Linked DNA regions of Rhinolophus ferrumequinum. Each later gene encodes a partner of the first gene's protein in a complex. Links are inferred from orthologs where the notes say so. Each region holds a gene or a part of one and is shown in the gene's direction. Other genes may lie near its edges. The genes, in order: ERCC2, GTF2E2, GTF2F1 and POLR2F.

Region 1 (7,155 bases):
CTATTTATATTAAAAATTTCTGAAAATTTTCCAAATTCTACAAAAGTAGAAATTAGTGAAAAAACATCTCCCATGTATGCATCATCTTACCTAAAAATTTATCAACTCCTAAAAGATTTGGATTCTATTCCAATGGAATGAACCTGCAGCGATTCCTGAGAGGTCATCATTATATCTGTAGCACTTAACAACAAGGATATGATCTGAGAAATTTGTCGTTAGATGTCATCATGGTGCGAACATCATAGAGTGCGCTTAAACAAACCTCGATGGTGCAGCCTACCACACACCTAACTGTATGGTTAGCCTGTTGCTCCCAGGCTATAAGCCTGCACAGTATGTTACTGTACAAAACACAAGATTAAATCAAGCACCAGAGAAAATGGTGCAATTAGTAGATGCGGTAAACGAGATGTCTGAGGCTGCTGCTGGCCTAACAGCATACTATTTACAGCACGCTTTTATTTTTTTTTTTAATAAATAGGAGTACACTCTAAAATAATGATAAAAAGTATAGTATAGTAAATACATAAACCAGTAGCATAATTGTTTATTATCATTATCAAGTATTATGTACTGTACATAATTGTCCTATACAGCTGGCAGTGCAGTAGGTGTTTACACAGCATCACCACACACACCTGAGTAAGTCGTTGCTCTATGACGTTAGGAGGGCTACGATATCACTAGGCGATAGGGATTTTTCAACGATATTATAATCTTATGGGACCACCGTCGTATATGCAGTTGGTCATTGGCTGAAACACATCACATGACTATATTGGGGCATATTGTGATGTGTACTAGTTTCCTATCACTGCTGTAACAAATGACCCCAAACTTAGTGGCTTAAAACAACACACATTTATGTTTTCACACTTCTGAAGATCAGAAGTCCAACTCAGTTTCACAGCGCTGAAATCAAAGTGTTGGCAGAGCTGCACAAACTCGGGATCACTAAGGGGGGAATCTGTTTCCTTGCCTTTTCCAGCTTCCACAGCCGCATTCCTTGCATTCCTTGGCTCTGCCCCCTTGCTCTATCTTCAAAGCCTGCAGCGGAGCATCTTGCTTCAGTGTCACATTGCTTCTGTTTCTTTCTAATCTCTCTCTTATGAGGACACTTGTGATTACTGTTAAGGAGCACCTGGATATCTCAAGATCCTTAACTTCATCACACCTACAAAGACCCTTTACCACACAAAGTAACATTGACCGGTATCAGGGATCAGAGCCTGGAGATCTTTGGGGACAATTATTCAGCATACCTAGGGAGTATTGCAATTTAAAGAAGGCCTCAGAGGGGCGGCCGGTTAGCTCAGGTGGTTAGAGCGCAGTGCTCTTAACAACAAGGTTGCTGGTTTGATCCCCCCATGGGCCACTGTGGGCTGCGCCCTCCACAACTAGATTGAAATAACTACGTGACTTGGAGCTGATGGGTCCTGGAAACACACACTTAAATAAATAAAAGTTTTAAAAAAACAGAACAAAAAAAACAACAAAGAAGGCCTCAGAGAAGAAAGGACCTTTGAGAAAAGCTTGAGGGAGGAAGCCATGCAGAGATCTGTGGAAAGAACCAGAGGGAGGGGCAATTGCAAAGGTCAGGAGGAGGCAGGAGTCAGTCATTCTAAGACTTCTCCCAACCATCTTGCCTCCTGGTATTCACATCCTGGAGTAACCCCTCCCCTTGAGCATGGGCTGCATGTGATGATGTATCCCAAAGAATGAAACACAGCAAAAGTGATGGACTGTCCCCTCTGACATTAGGTTATAAAAGACAGTGACTTCCATCTTTGCATCTTTCTCTGGCTCTTCTTGCTTTGATAAAACCAGCTGCCCTCAGAGATGCCCACGTGCCAGGCACCTGAGGGTGGCTCTCAGATGACAGCCAGCAAGGAAGTAAATCCTGCCAACAATCACACGGTGAGCTTAGTGGTGGATCATTTTCTAGTTGAGCTGGGATGACTGAAGCTGCATTCAATTCCTGACTTACAGAAACGGTGAGATGATAAATGCTGTTTTTTCAACCATTACTTTTGGGGATAAGTTGTTACACAGATTAGCTGAATAAAGCAGGCCTAGTGCCAGGAAGCCAGGTGTGACTGGGAGAAATGGATAAGAAAGAAGACAGTGAGAAATGATGTCAGACAGGTGACAGGATGCTTAGGACAGTACCTGTCCAATAGTAGTATGTGTTCAATACTCAATTTCATTTTATTATATTCTTGAACACACCCTCCCTCCGTCCCTCCCCCCCACTTTAACAGAGTAACCAGGGCTCAGATGGGGGGCCCAGAGAGGGTGCCTGATCCAGCCTGGGGGCAGAGAGGGCTTCCTGGAGGAGGGGATGTTTCTTTGAGACCTAAAGGTGAGCAGTAGGAGTGAGGCAGGACAAGATAAGGGAGACTAAGCTGCAGACAAAGAGGCCACTACTGGAGGCAAGTAGAAAGCAGAAAAATAAGCAGCGAGATGGGGCAGGAATATACTGTGAGGTGTGCAAATTCCTAAACGGAAGGCATCACCATAGCTTACTCCCAACCATCCAACGTAAACGGTGTTTGCTCTTCCCAGTTTGTTTTCCGTGTCCATGGTGTTGCAAGGAGCATCTCTGTGTATGTAGCTGTTCCCACTGAGTGTTCCTTTGGTTAAGGCTCAGGGTTAAGTCGGTGACTTCATTAACTGGCTCAACATCCACCCCTACCATCACCATCCTTATGAGTTCTAGTCCCCCAGTACCTATTTTCAGAGCCTTTGTCTAACTCTGGAAGTATATTCTCATTTGTATGACTATATAATAAATGTCATTTGTTGATGTCAGTATCATCATCTCCACTTTAGAGGTGAAGGACTGAGTCTCAGAGAAAACTTGCCAAAGGCTTTACAGCTAGGTCAGGTGCTGCGTCCTGGACCTGCCTGCCCACTCTGGGTTTTCACTGTCTGGAGAAAGTCACTGGAATGTGAGACCCTAGAGGGCATGGCTGGGTCACTGCTGTGTGCTTTTAAACACCCAGTACAGAGCATGCACAGAACAGGGGTCGGGGAATATATGATGATTGAATGAATGAATGATTGAATGAATGAAAATGAGGCGATTATGAAGAAAGTGACAACCAGGGCCTAGCATAGGGTCAGGCACACTGTAGACACACCATAGCTATTTGTCGAACAAACACATAAAAGCTAACATTTTTTGAATGCTTAGTACGTGCTGAGTCCAGTTTTAACTGCTTTATGTGGGTTAGTTTAAGCGTCATCTACATTGTAGATAATCTAATTGTTCTACTTTGCAGGAGAGCAAATGGAACCCCAGAGAAGTTAAGTAATTTGATCAAGGTCACACAGCTAGTAGACAGTGGAGCCAGGATTTGGGCCCAGGCATTCTGGTTCCAGAATCCATACCTTAACCACCTAACCACAGTGCCTTTTCATTACTGCTTGATTAAAATACATCTGGCAAACAGTTGGAGCTCAATAAATAAGAGGAGTTATTTAACCCAGAGAAGTCTAGGACACAGCAGGCATTTTAAAAGTGCATGTTTGACCACAAGGTTGCCTGTTCAACTCCTGGCGGCCGGAAACGGATGGTGGGCTCCGCCCCCTGCAACTAGCAACTGGCAACTGGACCTGGAGCTGAGCTGCGCCCTCCACAACTAAGACTGAAAGGACAACAACTTGACTTGGAAAAAAAAAAAAGTCCTGGAAGTACACACTGTTCCCCAATGAAGTCCTGTTCCCCTTCCCCAATTAAAAAAAAAAAAAGAGTGCATGTTTGTCTGGTGCAGCGAAGCAATTCCTAATTAGTAAGCCCCGAAGAGGTCCCCAATTTTCCTGTTCTTTTCCCCTAGACTTTCTTCGCTACACAAATAATCTGAGCAGATGAAGAAGACCGCATCCTAATGAATGGGATCGATTCTCTCGGTTCTCTTTCTTCCATGTTTTGTTCTTGGTCTTCGGCGATCCTCAGCGACGCCTCTCCCGGCGAGCCCGCCCTCGTATTGCCGTGCGCATGCGCATTATCCTGATTGGCTCTACCCCAGTAGAGTGACGGGAGGGATCCGCCAGTGGCGTCGTGAGGAAGGTGCAGCGGCCCCTTGAGGACGCCCCACGGATCCTGCCGCACTAAATATTCATGAGGGGGCGGGTCGGTGCCGCTTCTCGCCCCGGCCATCGCCATGAAGTGAGAGGGGGGTTGGGCGTGGGGACTTGGAAGATGGGGGGACCGGTGGGCGCGCCCGGGGCCCCCGCGGGGCGAGGGGAGGCTGAAGGGATGGGGAGGGGATAGCCGCGGGGACCCACGGTACGGTAACGGGAATGGGCAGCGAGGAGATAACGAGGAGACCCAGAGGTTCCTGGGGAACGGGGGTGTATCCGGGGGGACCCGCAGGCCGGTGCCTGGCAGGTAACCTCCCTCGGCCCGGCGGCAGGGGAGTGTGGGGGTTGAAGAAGGGCTTAGGGGACCCGGGACTGACCCGACGGCCCCTGCGGCCAGGCTCAACGTGGACGGGCTGCTGGTCTACTTCCCGTACGACTACATCTACCCCGAGCAGTTCTCCTACATGCTGGAGCTCAAACGCACGCTGGACGCCAAGGTGCGTGGGCCCCGTCCGCCGTTACCCACCTGACAGGTGGGGCTTCCACGCAGGCGGCTGAGACTGAGATTGCAGGAGGTCTAGATTAGAAATTAGAGGTCCTTGGGGAGCCAGCACTCCAAAACTTCCTAGTACCTAAAATAATAATAGTTAATAAACGGAAGAAAACAAAAAGAAACAAAAATAAGTTAATAATAGCAGTAGCTGGCTTTTATCAAAGCTTGAGCTACTCTGTGGCTGGGAATATGTAGATTTTGGACTCAGCTACCTGGGTTGGGATTCTGGACCCACAGCTGTGTGCCCCCTTGGGAAAATCACTTAATCTCCCTGTTCCAAAATCGGCGTCTTAATAGTACCTAAGTCAGAGGTTAATGTGAGGGTTATATGAGTTAATTCACTAAGTAAGGTCGCAGTTGTCACCTGGGGGTGATTTTGACTCCCAGAGGACATTGGCAGTGCCTAGAGACATTCCTGGTTGGCATACTAGTGGAGTGGGGGTGCTACCTGGCATACAATGTTTTGAAGCCACAGATGCTGCTAAACATTCTGCAGTGCACAGGACAGCCCCTCCACAACCAAGTATTATTCGGCTCCAAAATATAAATAAAGCTGAATTTCACAAACCCTGATGTAAGACTCTTAGAAATACTGCCAGGCACAGAGGAAGTGTGAAGTTGTTTGTTTGCTACATTAAAAGAAAAAGGGCTCACTGTATATCAGGTACTATGCCAAATATTTAACCCCCAGTTTTTCATTAATCCTCATAATCATGCTATGAAAAAAGCTTATTAGGCCTATTTTAGAGATGAGGATACTGAGGCCAGAGAGGTGAAGGCACTTGCCTAAGACCACCCAGCAAAGAAGGGTTCAGACCCACTGCCCCTGGGGCCCAAATTTAATTGCTGTGCTGGCCTGCCATTTCAAGATGGTGGCATTCTGGAGGGAGTTGTGAGAGCCTATGTCTTATCCCAACACACAGGGCCATGGAGTCCTGGAAATGCCCTCAGGCACTGGGAAGACAGTGTCCCTGTTGGCCCTGATCATGGCGTACCAGCGGGTAAGTGACCCACTGGGCCTGTGGAAGGGGAGGAGGGAAAGGGCTGGATGGGCTGAACCCTTTGTTGTCCGCAGGCATATCCACTGGAGGTGACTAAACTCATCTACTGCTCGAGGACTGTGCCTGAGATTGAGAAGGTGAGCTAGAGCCAATGCCGGTGCTTCCTCACTCTCCCCGGACTTCGCTGGTCCCCCTGTGGTTGCCATCGCAGCTTGGGGGTGGTGTTTGGGAGGCTGGGGCCTGGTTGGGCAGGGGCTTGTGCTTTCAGTGAGGCTGAGTTCCCCCTCCCTTCTCTTCTGGCACAGGTGATTGAGGAGCTTCGAAAGTTGCTCAACTTCTATGAGAAACAGGAAGGCGAGAAGCTGTCGTTTTTGGGGCTGGCTCTGAGCTCCCGAAAGAACTTGTGTATTCATCCTGAGGTGAGTGCCCATTCCTCCCCTCACCCAAAGCCCCAGGGTTGAGAAAACTCTTACATTCAACCAGGAGTTTTAGATCTTCAGACTAGACCTCTCGGGGGATACGCAGGGGCCACGCATAGAATTCTCTCCTCACATGTAAAATTCCAACTCATCTTTTCATGGCTGAGGCGCGGATACCACTGGGGAGCCCTCCTACTTTCCCCCAGCCTGGGAGAGGTTAAAAAGGCAGTTCCTGGAGGCTGGCAGGCCTAGTTTCCTGGCTTTGTAACTTACTAGTTATGTACTCTTGGAGAGGAGATTTCTGCAGTCTTGGCCTCGGTCTTCCTTTCTGTAAAATGGGGATAAATAAGTACCTGCTTCGTACAGTTGTTGATAAGATTGGGTGAGCTAATGCATGTGTACCCTTAGCATGTACAAAGAACTAAAAGGTATTAGAAACTGCCACGATATTAATAGATCTATCACACATAGAATATTTGTTATTTTTGAATTATGTTAAAAAGCCACTGGGCTCACTGTGCACCAGGCACTGTTCTAAGCACTTGATGTGTGGTAACTCATGGAATATATATTCTATAACATTATTTGTAAGAATATATGAGAAATAATACGTATGATGGATAATAATTAAAGAGAAGTAGCATAGGCCTTGGTGACTGATGGAATGGGAAAAGGAGAAGGAAGGGACGGCAGCCTTGAGCCTTCCCTTTGGGGAAGGAGAAGGTTTTGTTCTGAGGGCAGGCAGCCCGGGGCTGTGATGATACCACCAACAGAGACTTGGAGGGGACAGAGCAGGGCAAGGGCGACCGTGGGTTCTCATACTGTGCAATCAGAACCTCCTTTTATTCTTAGACCTTGCCAGGGTCCTGGGTGGTTGAGCATCTTAAAAGTAAAGCAGTTATCCTTTATCTACAAGCTAAAGAATCTTCAAGGCTTAATGTTTTGTATTTATTGAGGTATAATTGACATACTAGTTTCAGGTGTACAACATAATAATTAGATATTTGTATACATTTCAAAATGATTACTGCAATAAGTCTAGTTAATATCTGTCACCTTACATAGTTATACATTTTTTTCTTGTGATGCAAAT
Region 2 (7,037 bases), on another chromosome or scaffold:
AAAGGGGGCAGGTGCAAAGTTTAGGACATGTTGAGTTTGTGGCCCCACTAGGGATCTGGAAGTTTAAAAGCTGGAGTTTAGGAGAAAAGGTCTTGGCATTTGTTTAAAAATTTACTGTTCTTTTGTTAAGATACTACTATATAAGTCCAAATTCTAACTATCCCTCTGAGTTATCCATAACTGGGTACTCTCATGTCTAGGTGCAGTGCACATGCTAATAACTTGTTTTTCTCAAAAAGAATTCTTTCCTCCCTTATGGGATGAATGCTAGAGAGGAAGCAGGGTCCTAGGGAGATTGTTTCAGGAGGGGCAGGCTGCATTAGAAAGTAGGGGGAAAGACTCCAAAGGAGGAAACACTATCAATGCTAGAGAAATCCAGGACAGGTGATGAGCAAAGTACTTATTTTAGCTCTTGGTTTGTGTGGATGTGGGCTAATTGCTTTGTCAGCTGTTTTGAGAATTTACATATCTAGTTCGTTGAGATGGATTGTGAGGTGAGGAGAGTTGAAAGGCAGTTATTACTTGATGGCAGAATGAAGTAAATTTATTTACTTTATCTCAGTTTTCCTCTTCCAAACAATTATGTAATGTAAAAAAATTAAAATATAAAATTAAGCCACTACATAAAAAAGAAAAGTTCTGATACACGCTACAACATGGATGAACCTTCAAAACATTGCAAGTGAAATAAGCCAGACACAAAAAGACAAATATCGTATTATTCCACTTAAATAAAATATTTAGAAGTAGGGCAAAGTCGTAGAGATAGAAAGTAGATTAGAAGTTACAGGAGGCTGTGGGGAGGAAGGAATGGGGAATTATTGCTTAATGGTTACAGAGTTTCTGTTTGGGATGATGAAAAATTTTGGGAATAGGGATGATGGTTACATAATATTAATCTAATGCCACCAAGTTGTACACTTTAAAATGGTTGAAATGATAAATTGTATCTTATTATGTTATATAGATTTTACCACAAATAAAATAGTAGAAAAATATCCACTGTATTGGAATTAATCCTGTGGTTATACTGAGTTGTGTATTTTGGGTGGGAGGGTTTGGATTGGTCATGAGAGAAGAATGTTTTATAAAATATAGAAAACATATTTCCCTCAAAAAGCCACCACGCTTTCTACTAAAAAGTATGCAGGGCATTATAAGCATTCATGAGATGAGACATAATTGCTATTGCATTAGTAGCTTGAATCATTCTTCATATAATTTGACACTAGCCACACCCTTCTGACCTGAAATACTAAAGATGCCAATATGTAGGTGGTTAAATTATAATAAAGGTTTGTTTAAGCATCAGTGGTGGAGACTGTGTATATCATACAAGTAGCCGTATCCCTATAAAGAGTTATGTCTCACAGCTTAAGGTGGGATATTTATCCAATGCCTTCCCTAAGCTCTGGCTAGAGGCTGCCCAGGTGGTGTCTACAAGGTATGATCAAACAATACAGTGAATGTTTAAATTAAAAAAAATGATCACAGTAAAAGACACATTGCCATTAATCCCCCTCAAATAACTCCCACTCGCTTTGAACACATCCCATCATTCTCGCCACTTTCTGAAGCAGTCCTGGAAGTCCTCTTTAATGAGTGTCATTAGTTGCACTGTCATGGCTGCCTCGATGTCCAGAATTGATACAAAACATTTACCTTTCATGGTCATTTTGACTTTGGGGAAGAGCCAGAAGTCGCACGGTGCCAGATCCAGTGAATAAGGTGGATGAGGATACACTGTAAAGTTTTTATTTGACAGAAATGACTGTACCAGAAGCGATGTGTGACACAGAGCCTTTTTGTTGTGATCATAAAATATAGTGAATGCTGCTGCCGAGTGCCATCCAACGGAAAGGCAGGGATCTTCAATATGAGAAGTGGCAAGTAAAACCTTAGTAACAGTGTGCGACAAGTTTCGACTTGTTTGGTGCAGTCAGGTGTGTGAGCTATGGTTGAGAGAAGGTGTGTTTTAAAGTGTGCCCTAAATCATCCTTCACCATGACAATGCTGTGTGTCACACATCACTTCTGATATACGGCAATTTCTGAATAAAAACATTACGGTGTGTCGCCATCTACCTTATTCACCAGATCTGGCACCGTGGGACTTCTGGCTCTTCCCCAAAGTCAAAATGATTCCGGACATCAAAGCAGCCACGACAGTGCAACTAAAGACACGAAAGAGGACTTCAAGAACTGCTTCAGAAAGTGGCAAGAACGATGAGACAAAGTGTGTTTGAAGCGATATGGAATATTTTGAGGAGGATTAATGGCAATGTATCTTTTACTGTAATAATTTAAACATTCACTGTATTGTTTGATCACACCTCGTATATTAGGTCTCTTACTCATTGTAAAGTAACCAGAAGAATGATAGAATCGTTTCCACAAGGATATGAAAAACTGGAATTTATATAATCACTAGGTAAAGAAACAATGAAATAAAAATTAATAAATTCATATAATACTGGCTCATGTTTCTCAGCACAATGCAATTTTAACCTTTGGGATTAATTTTTGTACTTGATGTCTGCTCCTTCTCACCATTACACCTCATCAGTTTTTTTACCAGTTCATATCTGGCTTTACTGGGTTGTAAAACCTCTGGGCCCTACTAAATTGTTACTCAAAGTTACATTTCCTGACGGTATTACATGAACATCAAGTGAGTTTATTACAAAATCCTCTAGAATGAAACAATTTTTAAGTCGCACAATCTCTTTTGGCTTTATTTCCAAGTTTTGAATAAAAATTTATGTGTCATCTCATTTAATCTTTGTAACAGTCTAATGCAAGTAACCCATTGTAGTACAGTTATTCCTTGATGAGAAAACCAACACAGGTTAAGTAACCTGAGTAACTAGTACTAAGTAATTAAAAGACAGCTACAGAATAGCTGAGCACAGGCTATACTGCTGCTTTGGGTTATAAAAGTGAGGGAAGGACATCGCAGAAATCTGACACTCCAATACATTGTAGACTGGGCAAGGCCCATTACCGTATTTTGCCATGTATAATGAGCACCCACGGTTTTGGCCCAAACTTTCAGGGAAAACTCATTATAATTTTTTTAATTCAAAATTTTATTAGTTTACATTTAGGTACTTGTTTTTCGTATTATAAAGGAATTTCAGCATTTATTTTTTTAACATGGTACAAGAAATTTTGTGGAATAATTACAAAACAGAAGAACAGATACAAGCAATAAGAAATTTTATGTACCGGTACAAACTAATATTTACCCATCATAGAAGGCCAAGAACTCTATCCTTGCAAGTTGTCATAAGTTCAACAAAACCGATTATCGTATTCCAGGGTACTATTTTGCATGCGGATGTGGTTATTGATTTCTAGAATTACACCTTTAACTCATAAGCATAAATAAATGAACGTTGATATAAATATGGAATTAGTACTACCCATGTATAACGCGCATCCTTATTTTTCCTTCAAATTTGAGCCAAAAGTGCGCATTATACAAGGCAATATACGGTACCGCTCGTTGCTTTATTCCTACCCCTTTCTGTTGCTTCTGAATCCGAAATCGTTTTCTAAGACTATTCACAGGTGTTGCGGTTTGGAGTTCAGAAACTGGGCTTCACGTCAGGATTTGCCTTTGCTAGTTGTGCTGTTTTGAGCAAGTCATTGAGTCGTTTCCCTGGGCCTCTTGTTTCCTCATTTGTAATAGAGCTAGAAGAATGTTCTCGGAAGTTAAAATTGTGGTAAAGTCACAAAATACCTAGTAGACAATAACTTGAAAAATTGCGTCGCCCTGTGGGTTAAAGAGATTCCCGAGCACGCTGGAGGAGGCTCTCGTAGCTTTAAATTTCCGCAAAGGAAAGATTTCCATCTTAGCTGCTGCTAACAGCCTCCCACCTACTAAGTCCCGTTCTCCACCCCGCCCCCAGCCCTGCTCCCGTTGTTATGGAGATCCGGAACGCCCTAGCTGGCTGCCGTTCCTCCCGCGGTACCCCTAACTGGGGGCGTGATGACGCACGCGCGTTCTAGGCTGTGAAGATGCCCCGTTGGCTGCCGGGACTGAGCTCTTAGCTAGTTCAGGAAGCGGCGGGCGGGGCACCCGGCCGAGTCGTCAGTGGTGCGGCCGCAGCCGCCGCTGCTACCGCCAGTGCGGAGATCCGGAGCTGGCGGGGCGGCGCTGGGCGTGCGTGCGGGCAGACGGGGGCGCTGAGTAGGAGCAGAAAGCGGCGGCCAGCGGGCGTCAGCGGCTGGCGGAGGCGGAGGCGGAGGCGCAGGGAGGCGGCGGCGGGTCGCGTGGGGCGGCCCACCTCGCTCAGGTAGGGGCTGCGGCCGCCGGGTGAGGGGCGCGGAGCTCCGGCCTGTTGTTCCTCGGGGGAGACCGCCTCCTCCCGAGGGGCGAGAGTGTCTTCCACCCCTCGGGAGGCTGGGTGCCGTTTACTACGCGGAATACAGTAACAACTTGTTGGGAGCATTGTCTTTTAGGCCGGAGGTTTTTTCAGCAAACTTTTGGGTTGTAAAGGGAAATTCGCAGTCGGGTGGCTGCTGGTGCCTCTTCGTAGCCCCCAAGTTTACCTTGGCAGTGGCCGAGCGAACCATGTGTGTGGAGTTTGGGGACCCACCGATGTCCAGCCGACTAAAAGGCTGTGATTTAGAGGCTCGTTCACGGACTATTTTTTAAAGCTGCCTTGTGGCGACCTGGTTTGTAATGATTCCTAAACTTTAGTTATAATTGTTTTCTGTAAAGTCCAAAGACGTTTTCCAAAACAAAACGCTGTGGCACATTTTTCTCCCACCTTTGCATTCTGTCACTTAAGATGTAAGCAGTCTCTTTTCTTACCTTGCCGGCTGTTCGCCAGTGGCACCTCTGAGGCTTAGTTAGGGACAGAAGCAAAAGAAAGTAGAAGGGTTGAAAGAAGTACCGTAGGATGAGACGGTGGGAAGAACGTGGGCTTTGGAGCCGGAAGACTGTGGCTTAATTTTTGCTTCTCAGTGTCCATCCGTGACACGTGGGCACATGAACTCCCTGAGTTGTGATGTTTGTTTAATGTACAAGGGCAGGGTGATGTGTCCTGTCTACCACACTAGTCAGTGCATGTAAAACTACAAATACTGAGTACGGTCGCCTTCTAACAATAGGAAGGGAAAGTTAGGCGGAACATGCGATGGTGAAAGGTAGACATGAAGCCGCCTGCTCTGGGTGCCGTTGAACATTACCCCTACCTGTCCTGGGTTTTAGACGCCTTGACCAGCATGGAGTAGGAAGATCTCTAAACCAAAGTACCTGGACCAGGATCCAAATATCCTGACTCCTAAATCAAGTACGTGTTCCTTACTCCACACCTGAAATGCTGGAAAAGGCCTTCAAGCTTTAAAAGGCTCTGGAAAATAAATCCTTGCCTTCAAGCAGCTTACATTTGAGAACATGAAAGCATCCAGCACTTCCTTTAAAAGCAATGAATAAATAAAACGTGACCTCGAGTGTTTTAGAGTTAGGATATTTGGTCCAAGTACTTCTTGCTGTGTGACCCTAATCATACCTCTTCACTTCAGATTTCACATATTAAAATAGAAATAAAACAGATAACCTATTTTCTACTGGAGATGTGAGGATCAAATGCTGTAAGCATTTAGATCTTTGTAAACTGGAAGGCTTTTATTTATGTGTTATGTTAAAATCATGATTAAAAGCCTGGGTTAATTACCTTGTCTTTACAAGGTGAAATAAACAGGTGTTTCCTGTTTTGGGCTAGTCGCCCCCCACCGTATCACTTGTGAATTCTCTTGTCCCTCGCTGCCCCTCTCCCCAAGACTGTCTCCTATCTTCCTTACCCCAGTATAATCATTCTGTTCATTTCTTTTCAGATCCAATAAAATAGTAATACTGAAATAACATTTGTATAGTTTTACTATTTGAAAAATCGCTTTCTCGTTTTATTCTTACAATTGGGCTAGATGTAGACAGCGTTGGTAGTATCCTCATTTGACTTACAATAAAACTGAGTTTATGAATCGCCCAGGGTCATGTTACTGTTGGGGATTAGAACTGAGAGGGAGAACGTCTTTGATTTGAGGTCCAGTGCCAGTGACTCTTCCTTTCTTACTTAACTGGTTTACTCTGATTATTTATTATCAGTGCTTATATTTTTAACTTTTAGCATGCTAAATCACATTCATTTTTTTAAGTGAGGTGCTCAATGCTTTCATGTTCTCAAATGTAAACTTCTTGAAAGCATGGATTTATCTTCTAGAACCTTTCAAAGCTTGGAGTACAGTGACTCACAAACAGAAGACATTTAATAAAGACTCATGAAAGCAGTAACAACGAAGTTAGAGCAATTTAAAGATGTTTCCCTGTTCATTATTCACTTAACAAATATTTATTGAACTACCCCGGTGCTTGAAGGTTTTGAAAGTGTAAGATAGTGTTTTTCCTCTGGGACCTTCCTTCCCGACTTATGAACACTGGTCTCAACAGTGCACGAATCATTTGCATAGTCAGCTTGTATGCTTCCTAGAGTCTCTCTATAGGATTCTTGAGAGGATTCAGACAAGAGAGGAATGTTTTAAAATACTTGTTGAATGATCTGTGGCTTCCCTGGTTGTATTGAAGTGTCTCACAATTTTAGAGTTTTAGAACTGAGAAAAAACATGAAGAGGTTTAGTCCCACCTCGCTCCAAATCAGGAATTTTCTGTAGATATTTCTACCAAATATTAATCCAGCCTCTTCATCACATAATGTTGGAGAGTTCACCAGTTTTAAGATACACCTTTCATTTATAAGCAATTCTGATGGTTCTGTCTCTCTCTTTTTTTTTTTTTTTGCAATGAGCCTAAATCTGCCTCCTAATTTCTACCCAGTAGTTCTGATGTTTCTAAGCAGCATTGTAGAGATACAATGTGAGCTGCAGGTGTGAGCCACATGTGTAATTTAAAATTTTCTACTGGCCATAGTGTTTTAAAAAGTTAAAAAGGGGAAATTAGTTGTATTTAATCCAGTATATCCAAAATATTATCACATTAACATGTAATCAATCTAAAATATCTCGTTATTA
Region 3 (7,045 bases), on another chromosome or scaffold:
ACATTCAGGCCCTGTGTTGCCAAGTCAGGCAATTTTTAAATTTTTTTTTTTTTATTGGGGAATATTGGGGAACAGTGTTTCTTCAGGGCCCATCAGCTCCAAGTCGCGGTCCCTCAATCTAGTCTTTGTCTTTCAATCCAGTTGTGGAGGGTGTAGCTCGGCTCCAAGTCCAGTCCCCATTTTCAGTCTTTAGTTGCAGGGGGTGCAGCCCACCATCCCATGTAGGAATTGAACCGGTAACCTTGCTGTTGAGAGCTCACACTCTAACCAACTGAGCCATCCGGCCGCCCCAGGCAATTATCAAGAGAAGTTGGGAGTTTTGATGTGGCATCTCCCGAGTTTTGAAAGTGGGCCACTCATTTAAAATTAAAAAAAAGGGTCAAACACTCTAGAGACAAAACTGAACACATTGGTGGATCGAATAGGGCCTGAGGGCTGGGAGTTTGTAGCCTCCGTTCTGAGACTTTGTGGCCATTTGTGGCGTCCATTCAGCTGGCATTTATGACTGGGTGCTTACTTTAGGGCAGGCACTGGCCCAGGGCTGGCGAGGGCAGAGGAGTCCACTAGCCCAGCCTTTCCCCTCAGAGCTCCCAGGCCGGGAGAGGGAGCCCATCACTTACCCTTTGACTTCGTCACAATGAGCCCCACAGAAATGCTTCAATGGAGGTGCGAACAAAGGGCAGGGCCCCACCCAACAGGGGACAGCTGTCCCAAGCTGGGTGACCTTTGTTTGATTCCCACCTGGTCTTTTTTGCTAGATTCTTCTTCTGGAATCTAGCAAGTTCCAGAAAAACCTGGAGGCCTACAGCCTGCCTCAATTTCTCTTTTCCTGCTCAGCCATTTTCAAATGCTCCAGTCCTTGCTGTTCAGGTGCCCGGATGCGCCTTTTCATAAAGTCAGCGTGGCTGACCTGTAAAAATAACCTGAAGAAATTCATTCCAACTTGTCCAGCACCGGCTGGCTCCTCCCTCATCTCTCAGCTAGCTCTCCAATATCCCCCCTTCAAGGGGCCATCTGAACCACCCAAACTGAAGTAGTGTCCCTCCAGGGTGTCATTCTGTCTTCTGTTCTTCACTACACTTATCGCTAGGAGAAATTTCTGTTTAGTTTTACACATGATGTATCTCTCTGTTTTTTGGCATCCTAAGAGCAAGGACCAAGCCTATCTCACGAATGCCCGAGTTCAGAGTCTGTCTTCATGGACTATTTGGGGAATAAATAGATGGACGAAGAATTATATTCCATTTTTATGGCCCAGAGATGCTGCTAAACACCCGTGCTACTCAGTGGGCAGGCACTGTGCAGGGAAATACTAAAATGACTTTGTCTTTGCCCTCAGAGAACTCTCTAGCTCTTCACCTGGGTTCTAGAAGCTTCCAACAACCTGACTCTTCCTTGATAATACAAAACTCCATTTCCCTCTGTTCATCTCCTCTCCCCTGAGTCTCAGCCCTTCTGATCTCCATCGTAGGAAGGGAGGGGGGAACAGCTCCACGCCTTACACCCTAACACCCTCACACAGTTTTGGGTCACTCACAATGCGCTCGAATTCCTTAGCTTGAATCAGCTCCCGAGGGAAGCCATCGATGAGGAAGCCCCGGCTCTCTGGGCAGGACAGCATTTTGTCATTGATCATATCTAGGATGATACCCTGGGAAGGAAAGGGGTGATGGGTCATTGTCCATAGGCCCTCACCTATGAGGTCACCTTGGCAAGTTGTCTTTCTCAGTCTGGACCTCTGATGAATTTGGGAAACACCTGCCCACCACCCAAGATTCCGAGTCTGCCCAATGCCCTGGGGCCTCCACAAGCTCTTACAAGAAGTAGGTACAGCGGCTGTCTACTGGACAGGCATCTACTGTGTGCCAGGCTGGCTGGGCCTCATTTGCTCATCACAGTCACCTTACAGGTAGGTACTGGAGTGACCTTATTCTGTGGGTGAGGAAATAGGTACAGAGGAGCCAATGATATATGTGCCCAGGGTCACAAAGGGAAAAAATACTAGCTAATTTTATTGAGTGCTTCATAAGTACCAGGAACTCTGCCAAGTGTTTTATAGGAATGATGTCATCCAAAGCTCACCACAGACTCTTGCTGTGGGTCTAGCTGCTCTCCCATTTTACAGATGGGGACACAGAGGTTCAGGGCAGCCAAACAGTGGCAAGGAGGGGAGCCACAGCCTTCCAGGCCCATCAGCTTCCACAGGGCCTTTCCGGGAAGTTCGTCCCCACGTAGCCCCTTCTTCCCTCCACCCCTGCACCCATGAGCTCTCACCGTGGGCACCAGGAGCCCCCGTAGCATGATTTCACGAATCTTCTGGCCCCGCCGGGTACCGCGTTGGGCCTCCTGCCGCAGCAGCTGGCCCAGCCCCACATGGCAGAAGCCATACTTTGTCGCCATGTTCTTGCACTGCGTGCCTTTGCCACAGCCTGGCCCACCCATCACAAAGATGATCAGGGGGGACTTGAGCATCTCTGCGGTGACCAGGGAAGAAAGAGGGAGACGCATTGGTGCCGGTAGGGGTCAGTGGGCACTGATGCGATTGTGTCCACAGCTTAGTGCATATACTGGACACAGTCCTGCTGGCATACCCACTTTTGCCTTAGGGTGGCATCTGAGAGTGTGTCCTGGCCCATTGGTGTATCCAGGCATGGCATGCGTTAGTGCTGCTGTGGGTTCAGTGGATGGTGTAAACCTGAGCAGGCTAGGCCCTTGTACACAGCATCTCCTGGAGGTGTCACAATGACTCTAACATCCCAATTTACAGTTCAAGAAACTGAGGCTCAGACAGGGGCAGGTCCATCCCCCAGACGCATTCCATACCACCCTCCCCTTCCTTCACTCCGGTCCAGCCCCCAGTGGTGGCCTGGACTCCTTTCTGTCCCTTGAACTTGCCAAGCTCATTCCCCCCTCAACTTTTCCCTAACTTCTAGGAAATCCCTGCCCCAGTGCCTTCAGGTTGCAGCTCACCCATCATCATCCCCTGTGTCAGAACCCAATTTCCTCCACAGCAAAGGCCACGATCAGTAATGACTTTGTGTACTTTTTCTTCTTTGTCTCCCTGCCAGACTGTACTCCATGAGGACAAGGACTATTTCTGTCTCACTTGTGCCTATATTTCTATATTTCTAGTAATTTACAGTTCCTGACATATAGTAGAGGGTGAGGACTAAGTGAGTGTCCACGACTACCGGCCATGTCTACGGGGTGCTGTAGTTTATGGTGGAATTTTGGTGTCTTGCTTCCCTCCACCTTTGCTTAGCCAACTTGTATGCATCCTGCTGGGCCCAGCTTAAATTTCCCCTCTTCCTTGAGCCCTTAGAGCCAGCTGTGCTTTTCCTGTAGTATTTCCTGAATTGTAGACACCGTTTTCTGAGATCGTCTCCTGCACTATACTGTAATCTCCAAGGGGACAGGGAGCTGGTTTGGCACAGTCACTATGGAGTGCCCAGAATCCAGCACAGCAACCGCTCAAGTCGATTAATGAATGGCTGATCTGTGAGCATGCGCAGTTGTATTACTACTATGGGGGGGCCACACCTGGACAAGTGGGATGGGGTACTTGTACCTTCCTCTTGCCCTCCACAGCCTCCTTCCCTTTCCCCCAGTAAGCCAGCCATCCCGCGATATTACCCTTCTCCTTGGGTCTCAGGGGCCTGCCCGTTTTGGGCAGCTTGGACTTGAACAGACCCATCCTGCCAACGACCCGTGGGGTGGTCGCGCCCCATCCCCGCTCAGGCCCTGATCTCTCCTGGCTCGGCTCAACGTCACAAGGGCACCTGTCCCAACCATTTAGCAAGATCATGGGGTGTCCGCGGAGCAGGGGGAGCAAATGAACCCCAAAAAGGTTCAGATGGAGTCGCGGCGTCTCAACGCGTCAGAGAAGGCCTCGGTTGCTATGGTGACGCGGCCTCCTTGGACTCACTTCCGGAGTGGAGCAGCGCAAGCGCAAGGCGCCGAGAGCCCGCGAGGGTGGATAGGTTTTCTCCGCTCCCAGGATGCCCCGCTGCCCTTGCGTGACGATCTCACGGGGAGGGCGTGCCCATATGTCATGATTAGATTAGCCGTCCTGTGTAAAGCGGTCATCCGGTGTGCGCGCGCTGGGGGCACTTAATTCAGACGCGGACTGCCTCGCCGCTCTGAAAGGGACCGGGAAACTAGGTGACAGCGCGTTGAAGGGCCCGGGGCAGAGGGGAAGTTGCCATCGTGACGCGGCCTGCGGGAGAGTTTCGCTTTCACGTTAGTCGGCGGCGCAGGCGCAGACGTGTTAGCAGCGGCCGCTGAGGCGGAAAGCTGACTGAGCGCCGCTTTCGGGTAGCTTTTCCCTGGATCGGTGGCACCACGGACTTGGGGTCCTCGATCCTGGCCAGTGACCCGACACCACGAGGGCAACTTCCCCCGGACAGAGGGTCGCGGACCCTAGAAGAGACGAAAAGGACCCGGATCGGATCAGACCCTAACCGCTGACCCTTGCCCATGGCGGCCTTCGTAAGTATGTGGCGGGTTTCAGGAGACCCTGCGGCGGCTTCTGCAGCCCCTCACTCGGCCTCTCGCTTTCTCTGTCCGCAGGGCCCCGGCAGCCATAATATCACTGAGTATGTCGTTCGAGTTCCCAAGTAAGTCCCAAATCCCACCTCCCACCCCCCACCCCCCAAAAAAGGGATTAAAACCTTCCCAAGCCTCTAGGCGTTCCCGGCGCTGCTTGTGATTCCACCTCCTGAGTGGCAGCGACCTGAGGGCGGGGCTGGGTTTGAGCTGAGGCCTATCTATGGCATCATTGTTTTTTGAACAGAGTGATGGAAGGAATGAATGAATTCTTAGTGCGTTAATATGCAGTAGGATGCAGCCCCTGGCCTAGTATTTCCTCTGCCAGGAATACCTTTTTCCCAGCTGACAATGCTGCTGCATTCTTGTTGATCCCAAAAATCCAGTTCCAGTATTTTCCTCCTCCAGGAAGCATTCCCTGCTTGCCCTCCCTTCTTCTCTCCAGGGCTGAGTTCCAAATTATCCCCACATCTCGGGTTCCCCTAAATCGTTGTCTCTTCTATATGGGATTGGGAGTATGGATCTGGCTCCGCTGACTGACTGGGAACCTTTGGGGTGTATTAAAGGCTCCCATCATTGCCTGGCATGAAGGGCTGAACTGGGGAGAGTTTGTTGGATGGATTGATTGAGCACTGCCTCTTCTTGCCCATTCCAGAAATACAACCAAAAAATACAACATCATGGCCTTCAATGCAGCCGATAAAGTCAACTTCGCTACTTGGAATCAAGTAAGTCCCTGTTCCAAAAGGGGTTAGAACTTGATCCTGGACTCGGTGGTTATAATAGTTGCTTAGTTGTAATAGTATCTAAGGCTTAGTTTTCTCAGCACTCCCCCAGTGCCGAAAAATGATGAATAGGGCCCGGGCTGAGCTGCTGGGCATCACTTTGAATAAGATTTGTTAGGCCCTGCAGGAGGCCTTCTGAAAGGAGAATATTTAGGGGTTGTGCCCACTGATGGGCATTTTGGGCCTAGATTTATCTGGGCAAGGGAAGGGGAGACAACCTGTAGATGAGCTCAGAGCCCCCGTTGTCAGAAGCTCTGGAAAGGGCTTTGGAAACTGTCTCAGTCCATTGGGGCTGCTCTGACAGAACACCATAGACTGGGTGGCTTATAAATAATAATAGACATTTATTACTCATAGTTCTGGAGACTGGAAGTCCAAGAGCAAGGCCCCAGCAGATTCGGTGTCTGGTGAAACCCACTTTCTGGTTGATAGACAGCAGTCTTCTCGCTCACCGTCCTCTCAGAAGGGGCGAGAGAACTCTGGGGTCTTTTTTTTTTTTTTTTAAGGACACTCATCTAATTCACCAGGTCTCCACCCTCATGACCTAGTCACCTCCCAAAGGCCCCACCCTTACATACCATCCCACTTGAGAGTTAGGTTTCAACGTATGCATTTTGTGGCGGAGACACACAAACTTTCGGTCTGCAGCAAAAACCACTAAGGGTTTGAAACAGGGTGTTGTAAAGTGATCTCTGTGGGGTTGAGGCAGATGAAGCAGGGTTGAGGCGATAGCTCTGGTCATGGTGAGCGATGATGGTCTCGAGGCAAACAAGAAGAGAAGCGATTGAATGATGGTGTGTTTTGGAAGTGGAGCCAACAGCGTTTGTTGATGGATTGGATATGGAGGGGTGAGCGCCAGGGCAGAATTATAGACATGCATTTCAAAATAATTTCTACTGCTAAATTGCCCAGAGATCGAAATTTGGAAAACCTCAGCCTTTAATGGCATCTGAATTCACGGGGCGGTCCAGAATCGAATGCAGAGAGAAGAGGGCCAGTTCCAAGCAGGTTGTTTTTCCTGACCAACCACAATGGTTTTACTTGTTGTTGTTTTTTAAACAAAATTTTTTTTTTAAAGATTTTTTTTATTGGGGAAGGGGAACAGGACTTTATTGGGGAACAGTGTGTACCTCCAGGACTTTTTCCCAAGTCAAGTTGTTGCCCTGTAAGTCTTAGCCGTGGAGGGTGCAGCTCAGCTCCAGGTCCAGTTGCCGTTGCTAGTTGCAGGGGGCGCAGCCCATCGTCCCCTGCAGGAGTCGAACCAGCAACCTTGTGGTTGAGAGGATGTACTCCAACCAACTGAGCTATTCAGGAGCTCAGCGGCAGCTCAGCTCAGCATGCCGTGTTCAATCTTAGTTGCAGGGGGTGCTGCCCACCATCCCTTGTGGGACTCGAGGAATTGAACTGGCAACCTTGTGGTTGAGAGCCCACTGGCCCATGTGGGAATCGAACCGGCAGCCTTTGGAGTTAGGAGCATGGAGCTCTAACCGCCTGAGCCACCGGGCCAGCCCCACTTGTTGTTTTTTTTAACTTACTTGGAAATAATTTCAAACTTTCAAAAGCTGCAAAAATAGACGTAGTATAAGAAAGGCTTGCCTGAATCCCTTCACTCACATTCACTGAGTGCCAACTTTCTCCCCCTGTTTGCCAAGCAGGAAGTTGGCTTGGAGTATCTGCAGCTCAGTCTGGGGGGGCGTATAGGGTGTTCTTGGGGG
Region 4 (7,130 bases), on another chromosome or scaffold:
TGTCCTGCTGTCCCTGCCAGACCTGGGCTTCTCCTCCAGGCCAGCCAAGTGTGTCAGCCCCTCTCTGTCCATCACCGTAAAGCCCAGCTCCGAGCAGGCCCCACCCACTGTTTGGATCTGGCCCCTACCTTTCCTCCCTTCCCAGCCTTCTGTCACCCACCCAGCGAATACGTAATGAGCGTCCACTCGTTGCCAGGCCCAGGACACTGCGGGTAAAGTGGTAAGACAAAGTCTTGCCCTCATGGTGTCTGCATCTGGGGTGCGGATGGTGATAAAATAAGTACAATATATTAGTATGTTAGGTGGTGACCATACCAAGGTGGAGCATAGAGTGTGTCACAGCAGGATTTACCACTTAAATAGGGTAGTCAGGGAAGGCCTCACGAAGAGGGTAACATTTGAGAAAAGCCCAAAAGTGATGAGGGGCCAGCATTCCAGGCAGAGGGAAGGAGTAGCTACAGCAAAGGCCCTCACGTGGGAATGTGCCTGGCGTGTCTTGAGGAACAGCCAGGAGGCCAGGGTGCCAGGAATGGAGTGAGCAAAGGGGCACATGGTGGGAGTAGAGGTCAGAGGTCATGGGGACCAAGCAAAGTACAGGGCCTTGTAGGCCTCTGGAAAGACTGGCTTTTACTTTGTGTGAGGTCGGGAGCCATCGGAGGGTTTTGCGCAGAGGAGTGACATGATCCCTTTGGTTGCTGTTGAAAATGCCGTGTTGGGGGCCAAGGGCAGAGGCCGTCAGAGTCAGGACGTGGTTTGAACGTCAAGTGGACAGGATTGCTGATGGGTCAGCTGGGGGGTCTGGGAGGAAGAGGCGTCAAGGATGACTGAGGTGTCTGCCCTGAGGAACGGGAAGGACGGTGCTGCCGTTACTTCCCACTGACCTTTCCCTCTCCCATCCTGTACCTGGGGGTCACGCAGCTTTACGTATCTCCCTTTTCTGAAGACATGCTGTGCTTCCTAGAATGTCCCTCCTGCTCCGTCCACTCCCTATTCCTGTCTGTCCAGTGCCAAATGCTACCTCTTCCTCTGGCCCGTTTTCAGCAAATATTTATGGCCCGAGTAATTCTGGGAGTTCCGGTGAAGGAGAGGAATTTATGGCTTGCAACAGAATTTGAACGAAGGCTCAAAACAACAGTAGGATTTGGGTAAGAGAAGTAAAGAGAAGATTCTAGAAGAAAGCAGACTCAACACCAATGCTTGGAGGCAATTTAAAAAAATAAAACTTCTAAGGGGAATAACACTGCCAGGTGAACCAATTACTCATGTTGGCCTAACCACTAATGCAGTCAGTCCTTCAATAAACATTGAGCAGCTTAAAAAAAAAAAAAAAAAAAATTTTGAGCAGCTAAGTGCTGGGGCTACCGTGGTGAACAAGACAGATGGAGTCCTTGGTCTGCTAGTTTTACTTTTAGTGAAATTTCTAGCATAATCTCTTTGTGGTCATGCTACAGGGGACACCAGTTTATTAGTAGATTGCTGAGCGTGGAGACTGAGTTGTGATTCAGATATGTCACGGCACTAGGCAGCCTGAGTTGTACTTTTCCACAATAAGGAAGGACATCTGACTTCTGACCTGGCCGGATGGAGCCTCCCTCCCTCAGCCAGTGCTGAACAGGTGCCAATGTCTGACTCTCTCTTCCCTATGCTTCTGTCATTGATCAAATGCCCTCCTGATAAGCACATTCTTTCTTCAAAGACGGCAACAGCTTTCAGTAGATTCAAGTAAAACTCGGCAGGGTTGGACCTTCTGGTATTCTCTCTCTTAAAGGCAACTTTACAGGTCTGTGTTCTGCTCCATTAAATATTGATTGATTCAGTTACATCTCAGAAAGCAAAGTTGCTTTCAAGATCTTAGAGGGCCCCTGGCTATTGTGCCCACGTACTTCCACTTTTTTGTTTTCCTCAAAAATAAGTAATGTAGGGGTGGCCGGTTAGCTCAGTTGGTTAAAGTGTGATGCTAATAACACCAAGGTTGCCGGTTCGATCCCAGCATAGGCCACTGTGAGCTGTGTCCTCCTTAAAAAACAAAAAAGAAAAAAAAAAAGAAAAGAAGAAAAAAAATGTAATGTGTGGTCAGAGGTGAGCTATGGAAAGGCTCTGCATAATCTTCCTAAGTTGGAATTCTGCCAGTTTTCTTGTTTCTGCTAGCTAAGCTATGAATGAATAAAACGACAAATGAGACACATCCACAGTCCTTTCCTCTGGAGAGCTCCTATGGTATGTGTGTAACAGGGAGGGATAGATTGCAGACAGGACAGTTTTGAGACTATTTTGGCTGGACAGGAAGTCTCGCCTGGGCTGTGATCTCTTGGGAAAGGCAGCTAGAGCAGAACTGCAGGAGACTGGTTGTGGTGCCAGGACCCGTGTCTGGGGGAAGAAACAAAGGCCGCCTCAAGGTCAATCCCCCAGATGCAAGGGTCGGAAATACTACACTCTACTATTTTGGTCTTTTAAAATGATGTCCTCTACCTCTTAATATGGAGGAGCTTGAAAAACGTGGCCCAGAATCCCTCTGCCCAGGAAGCCTCTGTGGACTGCCTCTTACTTTTCATGGTGTCCATGATGTGGCGCTGTTGGAATTTAGTCAGTCTGGATTCCTCCATCATTACTGCAAGATAAAGCACTTTTGTAAAGCCTGCTGAGCCTTCATCTCACCCACTGAAATTTAAAATTGTATCACCTCCTACCCCCGTCCTGCACCTGAATACTCCCTCTCTTCCTCTTCTGTCTTATTTTTTTCTGTAGCACTCATCACCATCTAAGTTCTACACATTTTACTTATTATTACTTGTCACCCTCCTGCTAGGATATCAGCTCCATGAGAGCCAGAAGTTTTGCTGGTTTGTTTTTGTTTTTGTTTTTAATGCTGTATCCATAGCATCTAGAACAATGTCTAAAGCCCATAGTGGGCTTTTAAAATTTTTTTTGTTGTGTGAGTGAATAAATGAATGAATGACCAAGCATTAACCATGTGCCAGGGGCTGAAGCTGTAATGGTGAGCCAAAAAAGGAACAATCCCAGCCCTATTGGATTTCACTGGCTAGAGGGGTAGGTGGATACTGATCCAATGGGACATACTAAATATTTGACTACAGGTTGCGCTAATTCCAATGAAGAAAAAGGTATTTGGTCACATCGCAGTTGGTTCCACTGTGGTGGTGGGTCCTGGTGGGGGGAGATAAAGCTTCCCAGGGGAAACTGAAAGTGTGATCTAAGGGATGTACAATTGTTAACTACTCTAAAATTCTTGGTTCTTTGACTTTTGGCCACTTGCAAGTTGTAGGACCTGAATCTTTCTGTAAAATGAAAATAGCAATTGCTGAGCCACAGGTCAAAAGGGGAGACCCGAGTTACGGAGGGTAACTGCTACCACCCCTCTTTTCCTTTAAGCGCACTGACCTCTCAGGAGCTCACAGGTCCCAGGGGTATAAGTGGCCTGCTTGGGGCAGCTCCAGAACCCCGTTCCTTTGGTCACTGCCTCCATCTTCTCCTGGGAAGCCATGGCAGGGCCCTAAGGAGGGAAAACACACAATGACATACCCCCTGTCTCTACTCCTGCACCCCGCCCTTCCAACACCACCGAAGTCTGGGAGCGAGGTCCGGCTGCAGGAGAATCGTGTTGCCGCGTGTCACTATTGCGAGTGCCCTCCTCTCCCACCCGAAACAGACAGACCGACACACACACACACACACACACACACACACACACACACGAACGGAGACCTCATCTTGACCTGCTGCTTGTGGCAGGGAAGGCCTTTGGGGAGGAAGAGGGCCTTTAGATAGCTGTTGGAATTTAGTCAGGTTGGATTCTTTCATCATCACTGCAAGATAAAACCCTGCTATGAAGCCTCTAGGATGTTACCCCAAAATTGAAACCTCACCCTAAAGTAAGACGCCGGCTGGGTGCACCCCTCCTCACAGAGAGCGGTGGCTGGGCTCCGGAGCCCAAAAGCACGGCTCTACCGCGGCATCGCGCGGGGACCCGGCAGAAACACTGAGATCGCTGTGTCTAGAGCCGGCAGCGGGACGCTCTGGCTACCATGGTAACGAGCATGCATCTCGTCGCATGCGCACATTTACTCAGTCCTGCCTACCGGAAGTGATTGCTTCTGGTTCACGGCGCAGGCGCAGAGGACGCGTGTCGCGGGGCTGGTGGGAGGCACGCTGTTCGCGGATCTCCGTGCGGGTCTGGGGCGCAGAGCCGAGTCGCGGCTGCGTCGGCGTCATGTCAGACAATGAGGACAAGTGAGTGCGGGAGCCAAGTGGCCTTTGCGGAGCCTCGGAAGGGGTGGGTGAAGCGGGAGTTTGAGTCCAAGGAGGCTGACGAGCCAGGCGTGGAGGGACCGTATCCGAGGGGACTGGGGCTGCTGAAGGGGCCCGCGGAGCCGGAGAAGGGAAGGGCGCGGAACCAAGAGCGTAGCCAGGGACTGGACACAAAAGGCACAGGCTCGAGGGGGCAGAGAGGATCAGTGGAAAAGGTGTCTTTCAGAAAACTTCCACTGCGCCAGGTTCCGGGTCCTGTATTGGGAATATTGCGCTGTGTTAGACGTAGCCCTTCCTCTCCAGGTGCTCCCTTCTAGAAGAGGGGACAGATAACGTAGGATCGTGTGAGATGAGGCAGTAAAAGTACGTAGTACAGCGGGTCCTCGAATACCGTTTTCTAACGTTGATGAGATGCGGTAGGATCCCACCTGTTGCTATCAGTTAGTCGATGGTAAAATTGGTTGCGTCGTGCATCGTTTTGCTTAAAGTCGCAGAACCTATCGTGGGCATTGAATGAGGACTTACTGTGTAGAAGTACTCCAGAGGAGTGGTGCGACAGGTGGGAAAGGTCTGGGCAGGTTGCAGTCGTCTGGCGAGAGAAGGTAGTGTGTTAGTAGTAGAGGTAGTGAGAAGTGGTTTTGAATTCTGAGTTCATTTTGAAGCTGGCGCCAAAAAGATTTCCCGATGTGTGGGGTGGGAGCAGAGGTCTGTTCTGAAGATTAAAATAGGGGAGTGGTCCGCATAAGTATATTAGTCAAAACTGAGAAACAGGTGACATCATCAGGGGGTGTCAGTAGAGAAGGGGAGGTGACTGAGCGTTAGAGCGTTCCAACAGGGACTCCTTGGGGTTGGAGAAGAAGAGACACGAGCAAAGGACACTGAGAAGGAGCAGCCAGTGAGGTGGGGGAAATACCAAGAGAGGGAGGTGTCCTTGCAGTCGAGTGAGGAGGGTGTACTGAGCGAGAGTGGGCTAACGTGCCACTGAAAAGTCAAGCTAAACGAGAACAAGAAGAGTCCATTGGTTGGCAACATGGAAATCATTCACAGACTTGAAAGAAGGAGTGGTTTTGATGGAGCCGTGGAGATGGAGGTCTTCTTGGAGTGAAATTGTGACAGAACGGAAAGAGAAGAATTGGAAACAGTGATGATGGACAACTCTTCCATGATTTTTGTTCCCAAGCAGAGCATGGAAATAAGGCTCTGGGGGGAGAGAGGTTTTGTTTTTTTTTTAAGATGGGGAAAATGTTTGTGCTGATGAGAATGATGCAGCGTAGAGAGAGAAAAGAGACAGTGATGAAGAATGTGTCCTAGCCAATTTTGGGGGTTGATGGGGGTGAATTCGAAGGAGTAAAATGGAACAGAAGTTTGATTCACTCATTAAGTAGATGTTTGTGGAGCACCTCCTAACTGTTGGCTGAGACACTCTCTGCCCTTTTGGATTCCAGTAAGTGGTGCTCTGACTAATTGGCCTCTTTCTTCTTGTCCAGTTTTGACGGCGATGACTTTGATGACGTGGAAGAGGATGAAGGGCTAGATGACTTGGAGAACGCCGAGGAGGTCAGTGTGTAGTCTCAGTCTCCCTCCTGCAGCCCAGGCTGTCAAACAGGCTGCCCAGTGATCATTGCCTGAATGCATCTGCCTCCTGTTTGTGACCAAAGGCCCTGCCCCAGCCACCCCCCATTAGAGTGGGCAGAGTTCCAGTCCTGGGTAGCGCAACAGCCCCAGAGGGTGGGCCTGCAGGCTTTTGTCCACTTGGACCACAGTCCGTGGTTTCTGAGGCAGTTAGTTCACTGATGGGTGAGATGTCACATTTATTCATTCAGCGACTGTGTGTTGATTGTTTATTATGTGCCAGGTGCTCTGCAGCGTGGGGCTGCATAGGAGCAAGGGGGAGAGTGACCTTGAATAAAGCTGGCGAGGTAAGGGCCCAGATCAGGCAAGATTTTGTAGACTGTAGGTTGAAGGAAGCCACTGACAAGTTTTGAACCAGGGAGTGGCATGATGTAAAGTTGACACTTTAGAAAGAGCATGCTGACCTCAGGAGCGAAGCAGGGAGGAGCAAGTATGAGAGAGAGACATTAATTAGGGGACTGTCACAGACCGCCAGGTGGGAGACCTGCAGCTTGAACTTGTGCATTGCTAGGGCCATTGATAAGGAAACAGATGGAAGAGATATTTTGATGGATTGGATTTGGGGCTGAGAAAGTGGGAGATGACAAACATGACCGCTAGGTTTCTGGATTCAGCAACTAGATGGGTGGGTTACTAGCTTCATGAATAAAATAGGGCTTTCTGTCTTGGGTGACTGATGGAAGAAGAAGTGCTTTATGTCTCCTGGAGAGTGATCCCTCGACTTTTTTAGTCCCGTTTGGCTTAGAAGCCAAAGCCCCTCTTTTTGAATTTTCTCTCTTCAGGACACTCTCGAGTACCCGTATTCACTGTGTCAGAAACCTCTTTCTCCATCCTTCCGGTCTCCTTCCATTCCTGTCCCGTCAATTCTGGCTCCTTCATTTAGTTCAGCCCTGTTCCATTTCTTCATTCCTAGTGCACCAGCCTGGTTTAGATCTTTATTCCTTTACAACCACATTACTGCAGAAATTGTGTTCCTGGTTTTCCTGCCTTCCGTCTGCTCTGATTGTCTTTCTGCTGCCAGAGTCATCTCTCTTACCTGCCTGCATGATACCCTCGGTCTTCCTAAATGGTCTCTCTGCTTCTGCCGTTGCCCTCTACAAAATATTCTCAACAGAGTATCCAGAGTGATCCTTTCAAATCTTAAGTTAACTGATGTCTCCGATTTAGAACCCTCATCTGGTGGCTTCCCATCTCATTCAAAGGAATTGCCAAAAAGACGTACAAAGTTCTCC

What was found.
Region 2: ERCC2 (region 1) and GTF2E2 share a complex: the UniProt entries of both Homo sapiens proteins name them as parts of the TBP-based Pol II pre-initiation complex. The link is inferred for Rhinolophus ferrumequinum from reciprocal best matches to the Homo sapiens genes ERCC2 and GTF2E2.
Region 3: ERCC2 (region 1) and GTF2F1 share a complex: the UniProt entries of both Homo sapiens proteins name them as parts of the TBP-based Pol II pre-initiation complex. The link is inferred for Rhinolophus ferrumequinum from reciprocal best matches to the Homo sapiens genes ERCC2 and GTF2F1.
Region 4: ERCC2 (region 1) and POLR2F share a complex: the UniProt entries of both Homo sapiens proteins name them as parts of the TBP-based Pol II pre-initiation complex. The link is inferred for Rhinolophus ferrumequinum from reciprocal best matches to the Homo sapiens genes ERCC2 and POLR2F.

The regions. Positions count from the first base shown.
Region 1 is NC_046298.1:41,745,415-41,752,569, reverse strand, and holds the start of ERCC2 (general transcription and DNA repair factor IIH helicase subunit XPD), read left to right. Parts: upstream 1-4,134; 5' UTR 4,135-4,169; coding exon 4,170-4,174; intron 4,175-4,262; exon of another isoform or gene 4,263-4,396; intron 4,397-4,486; coding exon 4,487-4,586; intron 4,587-5,565; coding exon 5,566-5,643; intron 5,644-5,717; coding exon 5,718-5,780; intron 5,781-5,948; coding exon 5,949-6,062; intron 6,063-7,155. UniProt on the Homo sapiens protein: ATP-dependent 5'-3' DNA helicase. Component of the general transcription and DNA repair factor IIH (TFIIH) core complex, not absolutely essential for minimal transcription in vitro.
Region 2 is NC_046287.1:67,078,556-67,085,592, forward strand, and holds the start of GTF2E2 (transcription initiation factor IIE subunit beta), read left to right. Parts: upstream 1-4,034; 5' UTR 4,035-4,300; intron 4,301-7,037. UniProt on the Homo sapiens protein: Recruits TFIIH to the initiation complex and stimulates the RNA polymerase II C-terminal domain kinase and DNA-dependent ATPase activities of TFIIH. Both TFIIH and TFIIE are required for promoter clearance by RNA polymerase.
Region 3 is NC_046301.1:57,927,439-57,934,483, forward strand, and holds the start of GTF2F1 (general transcription factor IIF subunit 1), read left to right. Parts: upstream 1-4,044; 5' UTR 4,045-4,239; exon of another isoform or gene 4,240-4,318; 5' UTR 4,319-4,476; coding exon 4,477-4,488; intron 4,489-4,569; coding exon 4,570-4,616; intron 4,617-5,111; exon of another isoform or gene 5,112-5,200; coding exon 5,201-5,273; intron 5,274-7,045. Other genes in the region: adenylate kinase isoenzyme 1, read right to left, coding at 1,538-1,651, 2,275-2,474, 3,634-3,805. UniProt on the Homo sapiens protein: TFIIF is a general transcription initiation factor that binds to RNA polymerase II and helps to recruit it to the initiation complex in collaboration with TFIIB. It promotes transcription elongation.
Region 4 is NC_046293.1:9,028,103-9,035,232, reverse strand, and holds the start of POLR2F (DNA-directed RNA polymerases I, II, and III subunit RPABC2), read left to right. Parts: upstream 1-4,124; 5' UTR 4,125-4,228; coding exon 4,229-4,248; intron 4,249-5,753; coding exon 5,754-5,823; intron 5,824-7,130. Other genes in the region: C10H22orf23 (UPF0193 protein EVG1), read right to left, coding at 2,546-2,608, 3,400-3,502. UniProt on the Homo sapiens protein: DNA-dependent RNA polymerase catalyzes the transcription of DNA into RNA using the four ribonucleoside triphosphates as substrates.